4 linked regions of the Schizosaccharomyces pombe genome follow. The main gene of each other region encodes a partner of the protein of the gene in region 2 in a complex. Each region holds a gene or a part of one and is shown on either strand. Other genes may lie near its edges.

Region 1 (3,886 bases), on a different chromosome or scaffold from region 2:
ACGAGTTCCTACAGAGGGCACGTGGCTTATAGGGTATGAAGAAGATGCTGAAGACGAAACTATGGATGGGTGCTTGAAATCCATGATATTTGAGCCATCCACATAACTGGATGGATCAGCGTTTTCAGTGGGATTGGAAATCGCAGTGTTTTCGAGTTGACGATGAATATCCTTGAGCGACGAGTGTTGGGAAGGACACATAGCGAAGCGAATACCAAACAGTCGTTTTGGATATGAGTCAAGGAGAACGAAAGGTATTTATAGGTATTTAAAGAATGAAAAGTTTCCAAGACAAAAAGAGAAAGATTAAAAAAAGAAAAAAGAAAAAACACTCAGTAGTAATGGAGAGAATTCGAATTTCCGAACTTCTTGTTGATGAAACGCTAACCGCAAAAAAAAATTTAACAATACACCGTTTAATAAACGAGAAATTAGAAGAAAAGCGGGATTATTTCAAAAAAGGAGAGGAAGCGAAAACTAAAGGAAAGATAGAATGGGTGGAAATTGTAGTAGGAAAGCAAATAAAATTGGAACCCAAGAAAACGCCTATAGTAGTTGTCTTTGAGCGAAGGAAAGTATAAAACAACAAAAAATTAGGTTTTTCCTCTTTCAAGTTGAATTATTATGAAACCGGGTTGAACAGGAATCTTCAAGGTAAGCGACCCCAAGAACGCACTCGTTCACGAACTAACCAAGTAAACGAGACAAGATGAACAAGCTTGACAGGATAAACAATGAAAGAAGAAAAACTTATAAAAACTAAATATATAAAGGGGAATATAGTAAAAATTGGCCCCCAAGCTGCGTTATAAGGAATTGACAGCAATTATATGATGACGGAGAAGAAAGGAGTAGAAACTGACGCAAGGCAGGATGTAAACGTCAAATCTTCAGGTGTTCCGATATGTAATGAGTCTTAAAACTGCTACTAGCCTAAAACCTAGCACCGTTCATCCACAAAGCGATGTCCAAAGAAACGTTTCAATCCGATGTTCCTATTTTGCTTGAATCCGTCGACACAACACACTGACTTGACAGTAACCGGGAGTACGATGGCAAAAATCAATGTCAGTGGATCCAGCAATTCGTAACAACACCAAAAGAATGGGCAATTCAGAACAAGATCAAAATGCTAACTAAAAGAAGCCTAGGTGTTGGGAAATCTCAAAATACCAATTAACCGAACTCCCCAAACAACGATTCGTACGAAAGCAACAAAAACCCTCTAAGATTCAATCAATAGCTTTCTTGATCACTAGAAATTTTCAAGAACGGATGGAGTTAAATATTCAACAGGGATGCGCAATCTACGCGAGTCTTAAGTTATGTTTTGCTGTCGCTAAGTAGAATTTATGGGAGGGAGGAAAAAGCTAAAAGTAGACGAAGCCGCTTAAGCTAAGGAATGTCTATAGCGATTAACATTACGTTATAAGGATTGCGTGGTGAAAAGAAGGTTGGCAAACTACGCATTACATGAGTAACGTTCGTTTATGGTATCTCGTATACGCATTCTACAATCGCTTACAGTATTCCTGTTTAGCAAACTCGATACAAGCAAAGCATACCTTGAACAACGTGGAGAATGCTCGCTTTGTAGTATTCGTGTTACCGTAATTCGTGCTGTATCTCACTCCGGGGGTAGTGAATATGATCAATTCACACTGCTTATAAAGAGAAATAGAGTCAGCAGGAAGTAGAAAGATAAATGGAAGGAAAAGAACGTAATTTCTATCCCAGAAAACGTTTGAAATGATCTTTTGAAATTATGTTTTGTTTGTAAGTATGAACGAAAAGCAAGGCACAACGCTATTTTATAAACAACGGAGTGCACAATACGATACGTCCATCTGCTTTCCATCCTTGATACCTGCATTGTCTTCGTGTTTACTCAAGTTGCTCTTAACCATACTCCTACCACCAAGTGGGAAAGACGGGATTTGTAGGACTCGTTGAAAACCGGCTCTTCTCAATGGTAGTAAAAATTCGTTTGGCGCGTCATGGCGTCAGAAATAGACCTTTTTACCATATCGTAGTTGCGAATGCATGGTAAGTAGGATGAAAACATACCTAGACGGTTGTTTCGTGTTTTACAACACTTGTAGCGGTTCACGTAAAGGGGAAAGTTTTTGTACAGGATTTAGTAAGGGAGATGGCTTGATGTGGGTTATGAAAGAATGGAAGATAAAATGCTAAAAGACTGCTTTTTTTTGACGGTTCCTTTGGCTCTAAATTGCGATCTTTTTTAGAAGCTTTAGTTTTCAGGTATTCCTGGATGCTCTCATCTATTTAATCTAGTCTTTCTACATAGTATTCAAAATGCCAAGGACACCAACCACAATTTTTCTTATTAATTGACTATTTATTGTGGTTTGGCCCCCTTGGCCTCTATTAACTGTTTACATATCACCTGTACATCCTTTTTTTTCTCCTTCATCCATTCCTGTCTTTTGGTTCGACTTTGTTAACTCAATATAGGAAAGCACCTCAAGCCAAACCTATCGAAACCATCGGCACTTTTGATCCCATCCCTAAGAAGATTGATTCTCAGGACTCCATTCCTCGTATAAAAGATATCCAGCTCAACGTTGAACGTTTTAAATATTGGATAAGTGTAGGAGCACAACCATCCGACACCGTCCGCTCTTTAGCTGAAAAGGTATGCCCAAGCTCTCTTTATCTATTTTTATGACTAGTCCAAATTCGTTAAACTTTCTTTCAACTCTCTTTTTTGACTAAAATTTTCGACCCGCTTGCGATATACCGCTCGGGTGATTTTTCTCATGTTCCCTAACTGCCCGGCTTTCCGAAATGGAGTGTAGGATCTCATCCCTGTTTTCGTTACGATTTGGCTACTAATTTACTTGTTTTACTTCTTTCTATCAATCTATCAATTCTTACTAACGTTACTTTTTTCACTTTTAGTTCCAGTTGCTTCCTAAAAAACCCGTTTCTTGAAACTCACTATAATCGTTATTGCTCAAGTCATGACATTTCTTTTTTACGACCACTTCACAATGTCTAGATATCTTTAACACATTTTTTATTTTTTTTTACACTTTATCTCTGTGATCACGCTAATTACCTCTCTCAACTAAATTTCATAATTTTTGACCGATTTTACCCTTCCGTACTGTTTTTTTAAAACCACGTTTTTTGGCTGAGTGCGATATTTGTTTTCTTTACGATTCTTTTTATTACAATATCACCTTTTTTTTTTTAATTCCTTCTCCACATTATCGTTAGCGTAGTGATATCTTAATTTCTAAATTTTTTAAAGTGTCTATCTATCTGAGGTTATGCGCTAGTTGAAAGCGCTCATAATTTGATGCTATCCATTTGTAATTACTTGTTGCTTTGTACTTAAAATTGTTTGGTAATGAGAAATCTTGGTACCAATATTTTGCCTTTGTAATTTTTAGCTTTTGCGTTTATGGTTAAAATGGATCTTCACTTTATACTGAAACTTCATTTCGTTTACTGATGTTATACCCTTATTTTTTTAGAAACAAATTAACAGCTTCATTTCAAATATTTAGGTTAATATCGGTGTATCTATTATTGCTTAGATTTTTGGACTTTCCGTTCGGAAACGGCAATGCGCTTTGTTGCTTTCCTGATTTCCTCATTCGTTTAATTGGAACTGAACACGTTCATTAATAGCCAATTGCAATAGTTGTACAATTCTAACAAATCATTCCTGTACTTCCGTTGAATTTATAAAAGACTTGTCTCAAAGGATTTAAAATCGTTCAACAATGAATATTAACAACTTAATCGTTTGTAACAAAATATTATAAATGGTGAACTAGCCTTATAAGCTAATTTATTAACTGTACCAGAAGCAATTTACTTTGGTATTATTACCATATTTCATCAACCAGTCCAA
Region 2 (3,733 bases):
TGGTGTTTCAATGTATACCTGATCGTAAAATGATTGAAATGCAGGATTGCCAAACCTCGACCCCATATTATCAATTGCAGGATTTTCCTGTTTAATTTCTCCAACTCGATCTAGTATATTTAATACATGCTCTATTGATGAGCTTTGCGGAATTGAAGCTGAAATAGGCTTGTCTTTCACAGCTTCGTCAAGATCACAAATAAACGAATCAATTAACTTATAAGCATCTCCTTCTTTAAATAATTTTAAGTCTTCATTGTCTAAAATTCGTCGGACAGGAACGAAACACCGGTTTTGCTCTTCTCTAGAAAGCATGTTGGCATAACTTGATCGGTTAAGACAAGATTAACAAAAGCCTTAAAAATTATACAGTTGGACGCTCTTCAATATTCCTTATGTTGTTATTTGTTATGTCAGTCGTCAGTACGTTACATTTCATTATTGTAATTAGCTATAATCAGTGAGAACATTTTTTAAAGAAAGAAATGTAGAAATTTTTTTTTTTTTTTTCAAAATTGTTTTAAGGAAATAATTTCGACTACTAAAGTTATTTTTCATACCAATGTGTTCTTTTATTCTATGTGTAAACAGATACAGTGTAATAAGCGTTTATTAATTGCTTGATATACAACAACATATTTATGATTCACATGAAGTGTACATGTCATTAATTCTAGCCATCGACAAATATTTAAAAATATAAAAAGGAAGGGCCAAAGATGGAGGTATTGTAATAGTACTAGACATGGGAAGCTAATTGATATGAAGGAGATAGCCGGCATAAACAAATAAGTGCTCCGCTTTTTGAAAATAGTTAAATAAACGCGGATTGTTTAATGATTTTATCGCAAGAAAAAAGCACCGACCTAATTGTCTCATACCGGAACATTAAAGGATAGAATATACATGAGAGAAAATGTATTCCTTGTTAAAAAAGCCTGAAGTAAACATTAAATGATTAAACGTTTCTTAAGAAAAGAGAGGTACTGATATCCAAGTTAAAAATAGAGACTCATAAATGCTTGCAGCCATTTTGAAAATGCTTGTTTACAGCTTAAACTCTCAATCCAACCAACCTAAAAATATAACCCGAGTAAAAATAAGTTCTAATAATCTCATTTTCCTAGACGTTTCCTAAGTGCTCGTTGTCGGCGTAAGCGCTTTTTGAACTTATGTTTATTCATTTTCAATTTTCTTTTTCGTTTGACACTGGTCAAATCTAAAGGTGTAATAGAAATCAGCTTATCACATATTTGTTCCCATACTTGAGTAGATATACGAGCGGGTTGAGTTTGAGTTACGGATCCAGATGCAGAGAATGATTGAGCATACAAATAGCCATCCTCTAAAGATAACACATATTCCTGGGGTTGATCTTCCTCATCCTGCGATTGCGAAACTTGTGTTTTGGACTCAACTTTAGGCACACATATTTGATTAGCTGACAAAGGTCGATATCCAGCAAAGAAATTTGCTTTTGCGATTTCTACGCAATGAAGTTAGAAATAGAAGTATTTAATTTACTTACGACGATATGAAACGTGTGAAGTTGTAGGAACCGTTGGTAGGTTATATTTCGACCCAACTTCGGGAGAAGCTGAAACATGCCAAATCGGTATGGGACTACGCAGTGAAAGGCCGTTTAAACCTTTTAATATTGTGGAAAGCGCACCTCTTCGTAACATGGGTGACCAAGGCGAAAAATGTGTTGTACTCTTTGCACTGCGGGAAGGTAAGAATTGGTATGCTTATGCTAAACACTTACAAAGAGGAAGGGTGGTGCACATTTGATATTAATTCAGAAGAATGTTGTATTTAAATATATATGTGATGTTAAATAAAATTAATGCTAAATGAAATACAAAATTGTCCTTATGTATATACAGATGTTAGGTACGTTTTCGCTTCGAGAGTGGGCTGTCAGAATGAAGTCCACCGAGACGATGCAAATTTTTTTGCAAGATTGGGTTTTTAGGATCATACCAAGCAGATCCTTCTTTTGTAGTATCTTCATTTGCCAAATGCGTCCAGCGTGTTTGGCCTGCCTTCGCAAAAAGATCTCCCCTAATTTGCATAGGTTTGGGTAATAAATCTTTATTAAGAACTTCCCCTTCTGTGGCTTCTGAATAATCTCTTTTACTCACAATATCTTCGTTTTGATAGAATGCACCCTTATGATAGTACTTTTGTAAGAACTGCATAGATGACTTTTTCTTTCCTCTCCGACTTGCTTCAGCGTCCTTCAAATCTTGGGCTTCGCGTTCCTCAGAATTCATTAATCTTCTTTCTTCAATTGCCATCTTTTCCCTTTCTAATTCCAGTGACTTTTCCTTGTCTCTCTTTTTCCTAAGCAAATGCCTTAATTTCCATAATTCATATTCACTTTGCGGATCAATTCCATCGGTATCATCGATATCATTTAATAATTCATTATTGTTTTTAGTTTCTTTCAATAGTAATTCCCGTTTTATAGTCTCTTCTAATATTTTTTGTGAAGTCACTTTTTTAAGCACCTCAGTATCTTCTTCATTGGCTTTTGCCCGATTTTTGATGACTTTACTAGTAAATTTTGGCGGAAGAAGAAGTGTCCGCCTTCTCAGCTCCATCTCATATTCCGAATCAGAAGAGTCTTCTTCTTCAGAACTAGATGCTGCAGAGTTAGATCCCCCTTCTGCCGATGATGCGTCAGTCTCATATTCTGAAGCAGAGTTATCAATTGTTTGGACTGGGTTAATGTTTTGGAAATTAGAAGACGTTTTGGTTTCAGATATTCCTTCTTTCTCGAATACTGGAGTAATAACATGTCTTGATGAAGAAATCGAGTTTTCTTGATCATGTGAATCGGAAACTTCTTCATAATCACTTTCAGAAGAAGACTCACTTTCCAGCCCTTCCAATCTACCAGAGCGATATCTTGAAATAGGTTTATGGGGTATCAACGGTGTATCTATTGGCATCTTGACAAACGCTTTTTATTAAATTGGTTGGCAAATTTCAATCAACCGGTAAAACAATATAAATATGAATTGGAAATTATATATCTATTATCTACCACCCAAGATAAAACTGTATATCTGATATAATAGATTGTATGTATGCAATTTGTGGTACGGTGCCACTTACAAAGAGGTTTCGGGGCACTTACCAATGCGAGAACAAATATCACAAGCACACATTCTAGTCAAATGAACGAGAATCCTGGCATAATTTATATTTAGCTGAAAGTTTGTAAAATTGAATTGCCTTTTGTAAAATACATCGTTTCAGTTTATGGTCAATGTAATGTATTTCCAAAAACAACCGTTGTCAACCCTTTGAGACCTTCATAAAAATTATTTAGATGCTACATACAATATATCCTTTGAAAATACCCTCCTATAATTAGTAAAAATGATGTACTTTTCAAGATCCTAAAATTCGTTGAAGTGGTTTTAAAAAATATAGAGTTCTTGACTTGAAATCTGTCAGCATCTCACTTTTTCATACCAAAATAACTTTGAAGAAATAAAACCAAACGTATACTTGTAATTTTGTTATATTGATTATATTTCTCAATTCAATTCACCTTCTAATTCTAAATACAGATAGCGAGCGCTGGCAACTAGCAACAATAGTGAAGTTAAGTTCAACTATCGTAATATAACCATTAATTGAGAGTACATACTTCCCAGAGCTTGATACTACCGTAAAATAGCAAAAATCAGGTGCATATAATTGGTGCGACGTTGAGAAA
Region 3 (6,468 bases), on a different chromosome or scaffold from region 2:
AGGGAGAAATAGATCACTTAACGATAGTTTTTTTAGAATGATATGATAGTAGGTTTGGCATGTAGCTCAACTGAATGTATTTTTGAATAATTTAAGTTGAAAGGGAAACGTTTTTAAAGCTTTGAAATATGCCGATAACCTTTATGGTAACGTCTCAACTTTTAAATAGAACAAGCGATTTCTCCGAGCAACAAAAAGACGAAAATAAAAGACAGTCTTATTGCTGTACTTGTAGTTCAAAACTGTGTCCTAGTAGAGTGCTATTTCCTTGTTTTTCTACTTCACCTAATATGGTGGTTGATTGCGGGCTCAAATCCCTTGGGGGGCCTCAACACCATCAGACTAACTTCGTTCACATTAGGTCTGAAAGTATACAGGATCCTTGAGTTCTTTATATCATCATACAATAAATATAAAAGCAAAACTGTGTCTTTTCTAGAATACGATTTGTATGCTTTTTCCAGCGTAATTCCGCTTAAATTGGGATTATGAAACAGGTACGTTTTTACGAGTCTTACGGGCCTTAAAGTGATAATTTTATTGTACTTCGATAACTAATTAATATTTTTAATTAAAAAGAAGGAGACCAAAACCAGTCAAATTGCTTTAGTCGATGGTGAAAAATTATCGATAACAGATTCTTTTGCCTCCCTTTTTACTCTAGACGAAGAAGAAGAAAACGACTCTGTAGACAATGAAGAGATTAAGTTAACAAAAGAGAAACATGAAAAGTTACTTCTTTTATTTTGGTTGCATTGCAAGTTTCCTAATGGATTAGAATGGCTTCATTCATCAAGTGATCTTTTACCAGAGCAAGTTTCTGAGTGGTTTAACTTTTATCAAAAGTATCGTTTTAAAAGGTATGTCTCATTGAGTAACTTTTTGTATTTTCCTCAAATGTACAACTAACATGCAAGGGGGCGAAATTTTAATCTTTCAGCTAGAGAATCTGTAACTCCTATCGTTGAAGAACCGATAGTTCCCGAAGAACCCGATAATTTGGAAGGAGTTTCAGAGGAGACACCTTTAAAAGAAACTTCCCTAGAACTTAGCGAGGAGGAAATTATAACGTCAAAATCTCCCATACCTTCACCTGAAACTATACATAAAAATATTGACGTAGAAGAGAAAGAAACTATTGAACCAACAACACCCGTAAAAGAAGTGGAAACCACTGCTCATGCTGAAGAGGAAAAAGGCCCTTTGACGCCAGATAGCGAGTATGCTGCTCGACAGCTTACCGAAGAACTTGCAAACAAATCCTCTCAAGAAGAAGGAGTCGATAAGCAATTAAGAGTGGTTGAAGCTACCGAAAAGGAACATGAGGAAGATGGGAATGAAGAAAATGTGACCGTTACCAAACCGGTAGAGGTTGCGACTGATCAAGTTGAGTCTAAAGAAGTGAAAAAGAAAGAGGTATCAGAGACAACGGAACCTACGGCTCCCCCTGTCACTGTTGCAGAAGTTTTGGAAATTGAAGATAAAGTCCCAAAGGTTGATGAAGTTGAAGAAGTTCATTCTCCTGAAGCCAAGGTCACTGAAAATGATGTTGAGAATGTACAATCAGGTATTGATATTGAAAAAACTATACAATTATTAAATAATCAAGAGATTCCTTCGGAACAACAAATCATTTCCGTTGACAAGGCCACTGAATCTCCTGTTCAGGAAGTAGCGGTTGATGTCAACGAGAAGCCAGTAGATGAAATTGTTGAGCCTAGTAAATTACAAATGGAAAATAAGTTACCATCGGAAAAATCCCCTACAATTGACAGAACTGGGGTTGAAGCTCCGCTTTTTGAACTTTCTGTATCTATGCCACTAACTTTAATTCCTCCTTCAAAATTTTCTGAACCGGTGAAACCAGAGCTTTCCTCAGAAGCATGGCTGCTTCGAACAGAAATGTCGCCTTTACATTTAAGGTTGAAAAATGCACATAAATATGTTCTATCAGATAACTGGTCTCATGCGTATCGCGAGGAAATTGTACGACAATCACTACATCATTTAACGGTTGCAAAAGAAAAAGGTATTTGGTCCTTTAGACAGCCCAAAAGACAAAACGAGATGCCACGATTGAAAACTCATCGGGATTATGTTTTGGATGAGATGCAATGGATGTCAATTGATTTTTCTCAAGAGCGTAAATGGAAAATTATATTGGCTCATAGAATGGCGAATTGGGTAATGGATTACCATCAAGCTAGTGATAAATGTACTGTTTGTACTCCGGCTTCGTTGTCAAAGAATAAGAAGCCGTACATGCAAGAGAATGAACATCAGAAAGACTCTCACGAGGAAACGTTTAATGAACAAATAGTGAGCCATTTTAATCTAAATGATAATAATAACAACAAAGTGCTCTCTATTCCCAGGGATTCTTTACAGTTTTATAATGCTGTTTTTTCGGATGATATATTTGTGACAACAAACTCCGAACAAATTCAGAACTGCGTTTTAAACGTTCCTATGTACGGTCCTCCTACTGAAAACAATGAATATTGTGAAGAAATATCTGAAAAGTACCCGATCACTCCTGTGTCACGTTTTGCATATGCCAAAACAAAGCTTAAATCCACCTGTGCAAAGGCTTCTAGGAAACGTTTGTTCAACCAATTGGAATTATCACCACCTGAGTCGTTTATGGAAAAGAAGGCGAGAAGCGATGAGAACCAGCTAGATGGAAATAAAATTAAGGATGATAATCAGAAGCTATCCTCAGTAGGAACCTTTAGTGTGCGGCCTCCGTATCCGCCTTCTAGTAAAGATATTCGTCCAGAAGCCCCTTGGTTGCCCGAAGAAGATGAACTCCTTTTATTACTCTTGCGACGATATTCCTTTAATTGGGAATTTGTTGCCAGTAGGTTAACACCACCAGGTTTGTACATACCGCTTGCCGAGAAGCGGACTGCGTGGGATTGTTTTGAAAGATGGATTCAAGTGGATCCCAGAGCCGCCAATGTCCAATTGACTGGCTCCCATGCAAGACTCGCTCAGCAGAAATTAGATGAATCCTTAAGACATTCGGATAAAGTTAGCCAACATCTATCCTTACGGGATGAAGGAACACCTAACCATTTGATTAAACATAATTCTTACTTCTTATTGCCAACTGTATCAAGACATTACCGACCCATTACTATATTTGAAGCTATACGAAAGATCCTTAAAAAGAGAGAGTTTGCTAAAAAACCCACTATGACCAAGAGAGCGATTGCACCATCTGCAGCTTCAACTGAAAAATTGCCGCCGGTTCCTTCCCCTCTCGAACTTTCTCGTTTGAAATCTGAGCGTGAGGCACAAATACAGCAAATACAGGCTCAGAGAAACTTTGCACAATTGCAATCACAAAACAGGGCTCTACGGCCGCAAAACGCCGCTGTTGCTGCTGGTGCACAACAACACAACCAGCAACTAGCAGCCTTTCAAGCTGTAGCTGCTTCACAAAATAGTAGTAACAATTCATCAGCGGGTGTCTCGCCTATAGCTGGTAGAATGGTCCCCAGGCTTCAGCCATACGCTGTTTCCAGTTCTTTAAAACTAACACCTGAACAAATTCATCAGTTGCAGCAAAGGAAGCAAACTGTACCTACTACTGAAAGGACACAGTAAGTATCGCCTCAATGCAATTTTTCGATTTATTGTATTTTTTTTGAGTGCTGTTGTATATTAGAAGGAAATTACGAGGCGAGAGCTTTTTCTCTCACACAATAAAAATAGAATACGTTTTCATTTTCGTATCCCGGTTGTTGGTTTTTTAACAGAATCAAGCAAATCGAGGTAATACGAAGTGTACATGATAAGTGAAGTTTGATTTCATAAACGTTATTTTAGCTAATGAATATGTTTTAATTTTTGAAAGACAGACACCATTCTCGGTAGACAAAAACTCCATGTGATGGGCCTTGTAGAAGCGGGCGACAGTGTCATATAACCTCGTCGTGGGACTTTGTTTAGCTTCTTAGCAGTCTTTGCATTCGTCCGAGTGTTCTGTCCATTAACGGGTAACCTGAAATATTCATTAGTTAAGTTGAAAAAGTTGTCGAAGACAGCTACGTTCACAAATGATCTTTTCATACCCGTTTACATGTCTCATTCCCCGATAGCATCGGATATTCACCAATCTTGAGATATCAGCATTCCGTTGACGCCGTAAGTCACCTTCAATAGTCATTCCTGATAGCAGTTGCGACAACGTTGTCAATTGAACATTTGTCAGCTCTCGAACCCTTAACGTATTGTGAAATGATAATTTTGCGCATATTTCTTCAGCCTTGGCATGTCCAATTCCATAAAAAGAAAGTAGAGCAAACCGCACAGGTTTATCGTCGTTTACAGCCACTCCAAGTATGTATACCATGATGCAAAATCTCAGATATCAACAGATGAGACAGAAACCAGCTCAATAATGAAGTGGACAATTTGGTTTTGTAATTCAGTTCTCTATCAGTAATCAGAGAGCTTAAAACCGTTCTGAATATAAGTATTAGGCTTTCTTGTAAAAGAGTGGAGTGGTGGTGTTTAGATATAATACACAGTTGGATCTCTCATATTTTTAGAAAACTAGTTAGATTGTACAGACTCCGGGCCTAGTAATAAAAGACAATTTGAGTAATCATTAAAGAGCTACTATCTAAGGTGTAATTTGATGTTTAAGAAGACCATAAATAGGGCAAGGTAAGACGAAGAAAAACAAATAAAGAAGAGATATCGTCAAAGGCCTTCCTTTTCTGTTCAAATTTTAAAATTTATGAACTCAAATGATCCCTTCGTTCAATGGTCTCAGTTTAAAATTTATTATTGAAAAATATATTCACGACATTACTGTCTCTTACAAAGTTGAATGTTCAACAGTACATGCGGAAGTACAGTAAAAAGTTTTGGAATAAAATTTTATATATTCTAACAATGCTTTGCGGATCTCAACTGTCATATATATTTCAAGTGCAGCTCCTTTACATTGCTATGCTTGTGCAGGTCCTAGGCATTTTAAATGAGCAGTAGCTTTCCGCATTTCAATTGAAACTTCAGTGCTTTCTTCTTATATGGGATATGACTAATTTTATCGCTTAACACAATTGGTAGTGTTCATTTTTATTATTACTTAAGCAATCCGCAAATCATGTGGTTTAATAGTCAGTTTTTAAATTGATGTTTTATTTAACTTTAAAAAACAAAGCAACTGAAAGAAGTATAGTACTGTAGATTTCAGTAATATTGTAACTACTATACGTTTTTTCTTTTTTTTTTTTTTTTTTTTTTTTTTTTTTTACAATATGAAGACTAAGATGAAAATTAAAAATATTATTGCGAATAGGAATACAGATCGTATGGTAAAATAATAGATCGAAAATAGCAATTAATTTAAAAAATTGCTTCACATGGCTTTGTAAAGATGTGTGGGCTAACATACTAGAAAATAAAAAAAATATGAAGATAAAATGAGTTTAGCTCTCAAATTTGGCAGTAATATTGACATCTGTAATAGTGGAATTCTCTGGGACAGTCATGATATAAAACTGAAGAAAGCGATAGTATTCTTCATCCTCTTCCTCATTCTCTTCATCTTCTTCAGTGCGCTTTTTCAAGTTGGGTCTGTCAGGATTAACAAAAGTGTTCCAACTTTGGTAAGCACGAAGGAAATCAGCATAAGTTTTTGCGGGAGCAGCTTCGAATTCGCGCTTTTTCAAGTTGGGTCTGTCAGGATTAACAAAAGTGTTCCAACTATGGTAAGCACGAAGGAAATCAGCATAACTCTTCTCTGGGGCAGCTTCAAACTCACGCTTTTTCAAATTGGGTCTGTCAGGATTAACAAAAGTGTTCCAACTTTGATAAGCACGAAGGAAATCAGCATAAGTTTTTGCGGGAGCAGCTTCGAATTCGCGCTTTTTCAAGTTGGGTCTATCAGGATTAGCAAAAGTGTTCCAACTTTGGTAAACACGAAGGAAATCAGCATATGACTTGCTAACTGAAACCACACCAGGATCGGCAACTGGAATAGGTGAGGCAGCAGCAAGTGAGAATAAAAGGGCAATGACAGCGGTGATCTTCATAATGTATGTGAAAAAAATAAAATTTCGTTGATAAGTTAGAAAAAGAAAGATAGTTTAAGCGATGAACTAGCAAATAAAAGAAGAAAATTATAATTTGTTGACTGATTCAAAAAAAGGGAGAGTTTAAAAAGGCAAAATTCCAAAAGAAAAAGGATTAAAAGATTAGAATAAGAAAGATCGAAGCAAATTTACAGAAAATTAGCTAACGGAGCAGGTTTGTTGACAAGAGGGATGTAAATTCACACCCAACGCGAGTTCTTGTAGAGTGAAGAATAAGAAATAGAAAGAGTGAATATGTAAAATAGAAGACTTGAACGAATTCTGGTTTTCTTCTGGGACAGAATGCCTGTATTTATACATCTTTGTAGTGCTCCGTTTCCCTCAATTCAAATCTGGAATTCTATGCTTTCAAACT
Region 4 (3,217 bases), on a different chromosome or scaffold from region 2:
TTTTTATATTTACAACATCATTAGTATTTAAAATAAATCTTAGCCTACTTAAAATCCAAGGCGCAAATGATTGTTTATCACAGCATAAATTCTTGCAATTAACGAAAGAGTGTACATTCATCAATCAATCATTTTACTAAATAACAATGCCGATGAAAACAGACTCAATACTGCTTAATTACTCAAATACATTACCAGGATTGCCCAGTTAAAGAGTATGTAGAGAAAGATATTATTCCTACTCAGCGTTGGCACAAAATTCATTGTGTTAAATGCTTTATTTACAAAGCTGTAATTGCTGATAAAAAGTGTCACAAACCGGGATCGAACCGATGACCAACAGATCTTCAGTCTGTCATGCTCCCAACTACACCATTGCGACTAGTTGTTATCCATAGTCATTATAGATCTAAATAAATTGTATTCTTAATAATGGTTTTATAATATATTTTTCAAATGCAGTATTGACAAATACATATCCTTGTCATTCACAGATTATACATTTGTAAATACTTCCTATGTACTTAATCAACCTTATTTAATTTACACAATGCTTTAGAAGTCGCATACAATCTCCATCGATTATATATTTTATAAAACGATTTTCCTTATGTATTTTAAACATGTTTATCATTACATTACTAGAGTAACACAAATATTTTTTCTATTCCAAAAAAGCTTCTGCGGGTATAATTTTAAGCATATGGAATATTGTGAGTTGACAAAAGGAGACGGGATAAATTCAGGTGTAAAAAAACATTTATTCGTAAATCACAAGTCGAATAATAGTAAAACAAAAGGATTTATGTTTTGGCGGAATGGGAATTAAGACTATGTTTTTTAATGAATGGGATGTGTAAATATGCAGTATCTCAATTCACAAACTATTATGAAAGGAGTGGGAGATTTAAAAGGAATTCTGCCATTGATCCTTAGCTGAAGAGAAGGAAAACTTAAACATATTAGTTTAAATCTAACCAGCCTGTTAGATATTGCTTCAATTTTCAAAACAAATGAGTAATGTTTATTCTCTTATTAACATAGAGAAAGGAGACAATGTATCCGGAAAGAAGTTGTACGTAATAATAACTTTTTCCATCGAAGCCTCATTTAACTCGACATATAACGTTTCCTCCCAAATTATTCTTAATTGCATCGTCAATACTCATTATACCATGTTTAGTTTCTACAATTCCAACTTCTGCAGGCTCCAACCCATTCACAAAGCTAACTTTCCTTCCTTTGGCAAATTGCAACAACTCAGAAGGAGTCAAGTTCACCTTTCTACTAGGCTTTGATACTGCACGTATGTAGTGAAGAACCGGTTTTCCCTCAAAGTACTTTAAACCCAACCATAGACGGCGGGTCGCTACATTTTGCCTAGTGGTGATTGTGGGTAAAGCATCGGGTCCATGAATATCTCCGCGTTGAATCGAGCTTAAAAATCCTTGATGATACAAAACAGCACATAACTCGAGCACACTGTTACAGTTAGGAACGCTTGCTAACGACTTGCGAGCGCGAAATGAATTTTGCAAATGCGAAAAAACATAATGCAATTGCATTTCGACTTTTTTAACACAATCCTAATCTTTTATAAGCAGTCCAACAATAAAAGCCTTTTTTTTCTATACAGAATGGTGTTTTGAGGAAAGAAAAGAGGTATGAATGCAGTTTAGCTAGTCACTTCCAAATACCTCTCTCTGTACTGGAAGAATAGTAAGTAGTGAACGGTGTAGCTAGTGTTACACACTATTAGCAAGTTAATGGACATTGCAGTAATCACTGGATAGTAGTATATTAACGACACGATACTAAAGTTCACAATAAATCACTATATAATAAACTAAAAGCACCGGTTTACTATGTTTGGAAAACAAGGCGCAAAATTGCAAAACCAACGGTTATTACGGCAAAAGCCGTCTACCAAATGTTAGAGATTTACTTTGTACAGAATAAAATATGGATCTAAATCGCTGTGTCAATCTGTTAATATTATAGCATTCAAATTACCATGAAACCCACAAAGTTGTCAGAAGTGGGAAGCGAATTTTTGTGCGTTTAGTAGTTCCAAAATCCTCGAAAGGTATTCGCAAATGTAATAATCGAAAAAATTATAATAAGCAGTGTTCAAAAAAACAAGCGGTACAACAGCGAACGCCTGTAAAATATAGGGATGTAAAAAAGCATTTGAATACAATGTAAATTCACAATTGTATAGGATTATAAAAATTTTTTATAAAATAATGGCATAACGAATTCTTTACTGATATTTTAATTACAGAAAAGAAAACGTGAATTGAAAACAAAAGCCTAACAGTATGGAGAACGATTTATAATGCTTCTTTATGTGGCCGATCGTCCAGAAATTACTGATTTACTCAGTATAATATATTGATTTAATTAAGTTTCGCTTCTTAAAAAGGTTGTTAGTTTCGGTAAGCTGTTTAACGAGTATTACACAAAGCACAAGGCATTTTAATTTCATAAAAAAATGTCCGTTTTAATTTGAAAGACGTTCGAAATCAACACTTTTCAAAAATCAGTGCAATTACCGAAATCATTTACTTGAAAGTTGCCAGATTAATATTCTCAAAAGCAGGTTGTAAAAATGTATTATAACTATAAAGAGGATTTCAAGCAAGCAAATATAACAAGAAAAAGAAAACAAGTAGTAATCATTGATTTTGAACCTCCCGGTATTGTTAATATAGAACTAGTAAACAAATAGTAATTCAATGTACTATAATTTTCGTCAATGGTTACAAATAACAATTGGGTTCACTTTTATTGAATCACAACCACGATATAAAGAAAGAAGGGTTAAAACTCAAAAATCCGTCGATTTGGAACCTTTAAAAAAACATAAACCTATACAAAATTATGCGGTAATTTAAGAAAAGCTGTTAAAGATAAGCTTATATTTCTTATGTTCAGAAATTAAATAAGACTTATGTTGCGTTTGCGTGCTCAGAGAAGTATAGAAATAGACCTTAGTATATAGAAAATTCGAATGTATTAAGCATGTAAATAACAAAGTGATAAATAAAATATTTTCTTGATAGTTTTTTGATTTAATATAGTTTATAACTCAAGTAGGTTTTATATACAAGACAACTATGATGAGTCCTAATCTAGGGTTTGGTATATATAAGCTTCCAACCGCCAAAGCGAATTGTCTTCAGCCAACTCGTCCTTTATGATTCAGAGTGAGTAG

The links.
Region 1: cox24 (region 2) and mrps16 share a complex: the UniProt entries of both Schizosaccharomyces pombe proteins name them as parts of the mitochondrial small ribosomal subunit.
Region 3: cox24 (region 2) and sws2 share a complex: the UniProt entries of both Schizosaccharomyces pombe proteins name them as parts of the mitochondrial small ribosomal subunit.
Region 4: cox24 (region 2) and mrps8 share a complex: the UniProt entries of both Schizosaccharomyces pombe proteins name them as parts of the mitochondrial small ribosomal subunit.

Annotation. Positions count from the first base shown.
Region 1 is NC_003423.3:553,924-557,809, forward strand, and holds mrps16 (mitochondrial ribosomal protein subunit S16), read left to right. Parts: upstream 1-1,901; 5' UTR 1,902-1,969; coding exon 1,970-2,046; exon of another isoform or gene 2,047-2,475; coding exon 2,476-2,656; intron 2,657-2,922; coding exon 2,923-2,955; 3' UTR 2,956-3,325; downstream 3,326-3,886. Other genes in the region: sre2 (membrane-tethered transcription factor), read right to left, coding at 1-201. UniProt on the Schizosaccharomyces pombe protein: Component of the mitochondrial ribosome (mitoribosome), a dedicated translation machinery responsible for the synthesis of mitochondrial genome-encoded proteins, including at least some of the essential transmembrane subunits of the mitochondrial respiratory chain.
Region 2 is NC_003424.3:4,761,031-4,764,763, reverse strand, and holds cox24 (mitochondrial 37S ribosomal protein mS38 ), read right to left. Parts: upstream 1,722-3,733; 5' UTR 1,686-1,721; coding exon 1,529-1,685; exon of another isoform or gene 1,487-1,528; coding exon 1,116-1,486; 3' UTR 542-1,115; downstream 1-541. Other genes in the region: ypa2 (serine/threonine-protein phosphatase 2A activator 2), read right to left, coding at 1-315; splicing-associated factor Saf3, read right to left, coding at 1,890-2,957. UniProt on the Schizosaccharomyces pombe protein: Component of the mitochondrial ribosome (mitoribosome), a dedicated translation machinery responsible for the synthesis of mitochondrial genome-encoded proteins, including at least some of the essential transmembrane subunits of the mitochondrial respiratory chain.
Region 3 is NC_003421.2:980,632-987,099, forward strand, and holds sws2 (mitochondrial 37S ribosomal protein uS13m), read right to left. Parts: upstream 4,524-6,468; 5' UTR 4,361-4,523; coding exon 4,080-4,360; exon of another isoform or gene 4,010-4,079; coding exon 3,835-4,009; 3' UTR 3,613-3,834; coding exon of another isoform or gene 918-3,612; 3' UTR 861-917; coding exon of another isoform or gene 580-860; 3' UTR 515-579; downstream 1-514. Other genes in the region: vid21 (NuA4 histone acetyltransferase complex scaffold subunit Vid21/Eaf1), read left to right, coding at 489-497, 580-860, 918-3,612; P-factor pheromone Map2, read right to left, coding at 5,448-6,053. UniProt on the Schizosaccharomyces pombe protein: Component of the mitochondrial ribosome (mitoribosome), a dedicated translation machinery responsible for the synthesis of mitochondrial genome-encoded proteins, including at least some of the essential transmembrane subunits of the mitochondrial respiratory chain.
Region 4 is NC_003421.2:330,919-334,135, forward strand, and holds mrps8 (mitochondrial 37S ribosomal protein uS8m), read right to left. Parts: upstream 1,649-3,217; 5' UTR 1,566-1,648; coding exon 1,107-1,565; 3' UTR 562-1,106; downstream 1-561. UniProt on the Schizosaccharomyces pombe protein: Component of the mitochondrial ribosome (mitoribosome), a dedicated translation machinery responsible for the synthesis of mitochondrial genome-encoded proteins, including at least some of the essential transmembrane subunits of the mitochondrial respiratory chain.